Linked DNA regions of Caenorhabditis elegans. The protein of the gene in region 1 interacts with the protein of each later gene in a pairwise test. Each region holds a gene or a part of one and is shown on either strand. Other genes may lie near its edges.

The links.
Region 2: the proteins of cpn-3 (region 1) and F23C8.13 interact in a two-hybrid assay, tested with the Caenorhabditis elegans proteins (one large-scale study listed by BioGRID).

The regions. Positions count from the first base shown.
Region 1 is NC_003279.8:3,985,774-3,989,356, reverse strand, and holds cpn-3 (Calponin-homology (CH) domain-containing protein), read right to left. Parts: upstream 1,418-3,583; 5' UTR 1,380-1,417; coding exon 1,329-1,379; intron 1,282-1,328; coding exon 1,145-1,281; intron 1,096-1,144; coding exon 891-1,095; intron 839-890; coding exon 803-838; 3' UTR 658-802; downstream 1-657. Other genes in the region: aars-2 (Alanine--tRNA ligase, cytoplasmic), read right to left, coding at 2,973-3,146, 3,200-3,583.
Region 2 is NC_003279.8:2,413,032-2,416,954, reverse strand, and holds the start of F23C8.13 (PDZ domain-containing protein), read right to left. Parts: upstream 1,825-3,923; 5' UTR 1,823-1,824; coding exon 1,676-1,822; intron 1,114-1,675; coding exon 1,006-1,113; intron 1-1,005.

The DNA.
Region 1 (3,583 bases):
TTAAAAAAAATCTTTTAGATGTGCTCTATTTAATATTTAAATAGAGACATCGTGAGTTGTTTAATGTTCATTAAAGTTAGGCTCCTTCTTTCGTAATGAAGAATTTATTTAAAGTTTTTTTTATTAATTATCCAGTAGTTATTTTTTACCCTACAAAGTTAAAAATTTCAACGTCAGAGATGTCCTAAAGCCAGTGCAAAAGTAATAGAAGAAATATGGTATTTCTTGGAAAATTGTGTTTTTGCACAATACAACTCGAAAAGTTCCAGTATTGAAATTTCCTGCCGTGCCTGAACCTCGATCGGTAATAGATCGTCAAATTTATTTAGAACGCGCAGTTTTACCAACTCTACAACCACAAGAAATTTCATTCTTATTGTCAACTACCAAGTTGTATGATCAATCTTATGATCTTCCGACTGTCATCATACTTTGCAACACCACCTCAACCTATCACTAGTTGCCGAGCGCCATCGGAGCAAAATCTGTGCTCGCCATTCGCCCCCAAATAATCCATTAATGTTTTTGCTGTGAAGCCCACTAGAGATCACATCCCGGCGTATAGAAACCAGAGAAACGTTACACATCTTTGGAACAGCTGCGTGCCATCAGAGCAGTCACTGACTTGAGGCAGAAAAGAGAGAAGAATCGAGCTTTGTTGACCAAACAACTTTATTTTGTTTTGTACAACAAAAAAAGAAGAAAAGAAGAAAATCATATTATTAGGATATGAGAAGGTATCGGGTGAAACATTGCAAGGGCTTGGCCATTTTTGGAATTCTTGAGTTGGATGGGTTGGTTTTTAGGCGAATGGGTTGGTCTTTCCGGCCTTTTGGAGCTGAAAATATTACAATTTTTATAGCTTGAAGTCAAATTTTAGATAAACTTACAACTCTGCCGAGCGAGAGAAGAGTGACGCAGACGGAGAAAAGATCGCGTCCTTCGACGAGCTCCACAGACTGGAATGTCTCCTCATTTGGTACTCCCTGCTTCTTGGCGAACTCGACGAATGCGTTGATGTTCTCCATGCATGCGAAGGTCGAGATCGGCTTTTGCACCTTCTTGATTGATCCGGCCTCGATTCCGTTGGCGGCTCTGAAAATTTTAAGATTTTGTTGAACAATACTAGGTAACAAAAACTCACTTGCAAAGAAGGGTTCCGTCCTTGAGAAGGTTGTGGAAGTTGTCGCGTTCTCCGGATGTAGAGATGTTCTCACCGGAGAGCTTCTTGATCCATTCGAGAAGAAGAGTGGCCTCCTTGTCGATGAACTTGGAGTCTTGCTGAAAAATGAAGAATAGCCTAACAAAATCACTGAAATTCACCAAACCTTTTGGCGGACAGCGAATCCGATTCCTCCGGCGGTGGTGCGATTGGCCATGGTGTTTAGAAGGGGGATAGTCAAAAAAGAATGACAATGAGCTTCTCCTCGCGTCGGACCTTGCTTTTATCAGATGCTCAAGCTCCGCCCACACCGGGGGAGCTTCCCGAAGGAAGATGGCTCGGGGGAACCAATTGTGCGTCTGGAGTCTCTTGCGGGGGAGAGATTTGCTGACGTGGTGTTTTGAAGTGGTGGGTGGCGAGAGGTGAAACGAACGGACCAATGGTCTGAGTCACTTGTTTCTACGGTGTAAAACGAAATATTTTGAAATTCATTGAAATATCAGAGATTATCATTCAAGTTGAAACGTCTGACCTGAGACTTCAAAGGCGCAAGAGGGTCTCGTCACGATTTACACCGGAAATTATTTGAATTCCAAGTTCTTGTCTTCCAATATTTTCAGTGTTTTTCTCCCGAAAATAGGGTTACCGCTCTTGCCACGATCGAAATAGTCCATAATCGACGAAAAATAGTGTGCGCCTTTAAGTTGTACAGTAACCCACTTTTTCCATTTGCCGGACTTAAAAATGGAGCCAATGCATTGACAGGGCCATGTGAATAAGCAAAACATCACAAAATTCTCTCAAAAGTTTGTTATAGCCCTTCAAATATCTAGAAATCATCCGCTGAGACTTTTTAATTCGAATTTCGCGCGGAAATGAATTTCATAGATTCTCGGCCGTGTACTCCTCTCGGACAAAGCGTGTACTCCTCTCGGACAAACCGTGTACTCCTCTCGGACAACTAAATTAATTTACTAATTGTTGAATTTAAGGCTGTTTTAAGCGATTTTTCGTATTTTATAATGAAATTTTATAATTTTCTAAAAAACTATAAAATTTGTGTCCAAAACTATCGATTTTCATTAGAAAAACAAGAGAATTCATGATAAAACACGAAAAATCGCCCGAATTCAATTGGATATATCTTTTTGGATATATAATTGAATATATTGGATAGATATATTAATATTTTTATCAATTGATTGTCCCAGAGCAGTACACGACCGGGAATCAAGAAACTTATCTCTTAAGCATATGTCTGGAATTTGTTCTCAAATCATTTTTCTAATCTGCAAAATTGCAAAAATCTGCTCTTTTCCTCCGTAAAACACATTCATCGCCATCTGGAATTCATTGCCGTTCCGTTTCTTTTGTTGTTCTTCACATTTTTGTCCATTGTAATGTTCAGATAGCTGTGCCACAAATTAGAGATGTCTGAAGTGTAATGCCACGTCACTTTCAGAAATCTCCAGAATCTTTCGAAACTTGTTGGCTGACAAGTCGAAGGTACTTTTTTTTTTGAAATCGATCGAGGTGTTGTTGATCCGCGAGTTGAGCAGCTGTCCAGCTGTCGCGTCCAACCCACTCAAAATTGTTGTTTTCGTGAAATGGGAAAAAGTTTGGCCTCTATTTACTGCATAAACATTTTGAAACCTCGACAAACCAGCAAACAAATTGAAACATAAAATAGAAATACGAAATAAATATAATGACGGGGAGGGAGAGCAATGAACTAGAATGCAACAGACAACAATAAATAGAGGAAAGGAAGCGATATGAAAAACAGGAAATAGATTGAAAATTGGGGAAATTAATTGATTGCAGCAAGGGCAAATTTCTGGGCGAGTTCGACGGCAGCATCAAGTTTATCGACATTCTCTCCGGTGAGCTGAGCATTTGCGTCCTTTCCACCACCTTTTCCACCGAGAACTGTGCAAACTTCATTCACCCACTCGTTGGCTTTCAGGCCGTTGCTCACCAAGCTCTGAAAAAATTATATTATTTTTCTGAATTGTTTCAAAATTTCAAATTTCTCACCTTATCAACTTTAGCAAGACACAAAACTTTTCCAGAATCTTCATTCACAGAGAAAGCCATAACTGCTTTTGTGTCCTTGAGAAGTTTCAGAGCATTATCGATGGCTTTGCTGTTAGCATTGGCGGCGAAGACGTGAACGAGAACAGTAGGCTGCTCAGCGACAGCAGCAAGTTCCTTGGCTTCTCCAAGAACCTTTTCAGCGACAGCGGCTTGTTGTGCCTTTGTGTATCCATCCAAAGTCTTCTGAATGGCCTTTGCCTTTTCACGGATAGAATCCTTTCGCCAGTATGGCAGCTGAGCTCCGTTGGCTTCATCGACAATTTCTTGAATCTTCTTCTGGAGAGCCTTGAACTTATCCTTGTTGGCCAAGAGCTCATCCTTCTT
Region 2 (3,923 bases), 1.6 Mb from region 1:
CATATGTGTATAATAATTTTTCCCCTATTGTGCGCCTTTAAAGAGTACTGTAGCTTCAAAGTTTTGTGGGATTTTTTTTGATTTCTCATAGTGTTTCGTTAAAAATCGATTTTTTTAATTAAAAAATTACTGAATTCGATTTTAAAATTTTTTGTTAAATATAAACGGGTGAGCGCCTTTAAAGGGTACTGTAATTTCGAACTTTCGCTGCTATGGAATTTTTTAAATAGATTTTTCGTAGTTTTTCGATAAAAATATATTTATTTATTTAAAAAAAGAAATAAAACAAAACATAAAAACTACGAAAAAATCGATGCAAATTTCATAGCAACGAAAGTTTGAAATTACAGTACTCTTTAAAGGCGCGCATCCATTTTTATTTAACAAACATTTTAAAAATTGAATTCAGTTTTTTAAATAAAAAAAAATCGATAAAAATCCCACAAAAGTTTGAAACTACAGTACTCTTTAGAGGCGCACAATAGGGGAAAAATTGTATGTGCATAATCGATAATTGTCGTGTACACGTGGTATCAGAGTGTCTCATTTCGGCTTGATCTACGTAGATCTACAAAAAATGCGGGAGAAGAGACGCAGAGTTCTCAACTGATTTTGCACGTGCTTACGTCACATTTTTTTAGGCAAAAAATTTCCGCATTTTTTGTAGATCAAACAGCAATGGGACAGCCTGGAACCACGTGATCGTGTCGAGACCGGAACAACTTTTTGGCTCCAAAATCGAGAAATATATTGATCTACAATTAAAAGAAGAATGTTTAAAACAACGAAATTTTCTTAGAAAATTGCGAAAAAGTTTCGATCGTGCCAGGACCACTAATAGCAAAATCACAAGGGGACATTTTCGGCATGGCCTAGAAAAAAAAAAGAAAACTCGGCCATTAAGAAACATTATCAGCTTCCAGCTTTCAAAGGACAGTAAAAATTAATTTAAGGAATTTCGCTGGCCGAGTTTTTGCTTTTTCTAGGTCACGCCTCAAAACACACCTGCGGAGAATCCGGATGAATATAATCGACAAATATCCCTCGACTCCGGCTCCCAACCATTCGAAACGCCATTCCATTTGGCTGCTCTGTATCTCGTGGGATTGAAATCTAGAATTTTTTTATTATTTATTTCCTCGATTTTATTTTCCGCGAGAAAACAAAAAAAAAACGCGAGCGTCTCTCATCTTTAATTCTCGTATTTTTCTGACATTTCAATTCCCTTGTTGAATTGGGAATTGGCTGAGCTTAGGCGACTACATGAAGAATGCGGAATGGCTTCTGAGAAGAAAAAATGCACAACAAGAGGCGCCCGGAATTTCCAGTATTACGGGAACACAAAATTCTGGGAATGCGTATTGTGCAACATATTTGACGCGCAAAATAAAAAATATCTCGTAGCGAAAACTACAATAATTCTTTAAATGACTACTGTAGCACTGGTGTCGATTTGCGGGCATCATTTATTTGAAAAAATTGAAAAAAAAACAAAAGAAAAAACGAAGGAAAATGGAATATTCATTTCAAAAATCAAGCCCGTAAATCGACACAAGCACTACAGTAGTCATTTAAAGAATTACTGTAGTATTCGGTGCGAGATATTTTCATATTTTGCGCGTCAAATATGTTGTGCAATACGCAGAGATCTCAGAATTTTGAATCGCTTTTTCACTTCTAGAATTTGTTTTTCAATATTTCCATCTTCCACGTCATCATTATCATTGGAGCATTTTGTAGTCGTCGGCTCCTCGTCATCATATGAGATTGCAGAATTTTCATAGGCTGAAGCGGAACGTGGAAGCCTATTTGCAGTGAGCATCTGGAATTGGGGATTGGGAATTTCGGTGCAAATACGCTCTAATCGGAATCTCTGAGAGCAATTCGGCGGGAAGAAAATTGGAAGAAATCATGAAAAAATCGAGTTTTTTTTTTGATTTGTCAGAGATTTTTAATGTGAAAAATTTGTTTTCTCTTGAAAATAACATAAGCCTAACACTATGCCTAATCCTAAGCCTAAGCCGAAGCCTAAGCCTAGACCCAAGCCTAAGCCTGAGCCTGAGCCTGAGCCTGAGCCTAAGTCTTAGCCTAGGCTTAATCCTAAGTCTACGCCTAATCCTAAGTCTACTCCTAAGCCTAAGCCTTACACAAGCCTGAGCCTGAGACTGAGACTGAGTCTGAGCCTAAGCCTAATCTTAAGCCTAAGCCTAAGCCTAAGCCTAAGCCTTAATCTAAGCATAAGCCTAGGCCTATTTTTTTCTCTTTCTCAAGAAGTGGACAAGTCGAGCCTGAAACACCGTTTGGAAAATTTTGAACTACGTGGCCTAGAAAATTAGAAACTCAGCCACGTCCAGAAAAAAAACATCGGCACGGTAGAACTTTTTTCAATACCATTCTCGATAACTCATTGGCCGAGTTTTCGCTTTTTCTAGGCCACTTAGCGACATGGCCTAGAAAATTAGAAACTCGGCCGTGCTCGTAAAACTCATTTTTGATTAGGGGTAACTTCCAGAAATTTTTTTTTAAAAATGGTGGCCGAGTTTTCGCTTTTTCTAGGCCACGGGCAGACTTGCACCCTTTCCCAGAAAAAACTCGAAATATTAAAATAACTCGTAAAAATATAGAAAAAAAAACGTCTTTCTCTTTCTGAGTGGCAGACGACGGAAACATCGTCGTCACTCTGGGGGGGAGCAGGAAGAACGATGAAAAAAGAGAGACAAATGGGCGGAAGAGGACGATTAGAATGCGTATTTGAGACACAACTTGCAAGATGAGACGGGGCGGGCAAATGCGAAATTATGCGCCGACTAGGAAATTCTTAATTTGCATTACTTTTTTTATATTACGGGAACTCAAAATTCTGAGATCTCTGCGTATTGCACAACATATTTGACGCGCAAAATATAAAAATATCTCGTAGCGAAAACTACAGTAATTCTTTAAATGACTACTGTAAGCCGATTTACGGGCTCGATTTTCGAAATGAATTTCTATTCAATTTTCTTTAGTGTTTTCGTATTTTTTGCCATTTTTGTGATTTCTTCTAATATTTTATCGATTAAAAAATGAGCCCGTAAATCGACCTACAGTAGTCATTTAAAGAATTACTGTAGTTTTCGCTACGAGATATTCTGCGCGTCAAATATGTTGTGCAATACGCATTCTCAGAATTTAGGCTTAAATAAAATCGGAAATTATTATTCATATGAATTTTTTTTCTCAAAAAGTGGAAAAAGTCTCGAGCTACCACCACAAAACACTGCTCTCACCACCAATAAAAATGGGCGGAACTTGAGCCCTGGCGTGTGCTCATTCTCCCAGGAGAGTGCTACAAATGGAAAGACAAGAAGAGACGATGGTGGTGTTAGCTATAAAATGAGAAAAAAAAAACGCGGGAAATGAATAGAGATACGTGCTTCCGAAATTGAAACGAATGGCGGTGTATAGGAATTAAAACTTTTTATTTTATTTTCCCAGGTCTCACCACGACCAATACATTTTAGCTACAGTAACTGCTAGAAATGCCAAAAAAATTAACGAAATTGCAAAGTTAAACAAAAACTACAGTATGCAATTAAAGGCACATGTGCTGAAAAGATGCGGCGCAAATTTGCGCCAAAAGTACGTTACACGGTCTCGACACGACTAATTTTTGTTAAATGTGAGTAGGTGCGCGCCTTTGAAAATTACTGTAGTTTGAAACTTTTTCATCTATATTTCATAATTCTCCTTAGGCTTAGGCGTAGGCTTATGGGTAGGCTTCGGCTTGGGCTCAGGCTTAGGTTGAGGCTTTGGCTTAGGCTTAGACTTTGGCTTAGGCTTAGGCTCAGGCTCAGGCTCAGGCATAGGCTCAGGCCTAGGCTTAGGCTTGGAAACTAGAGGATTTCTGAATTTTTTTTGCAATCAGAATTTCAGAAAACTAG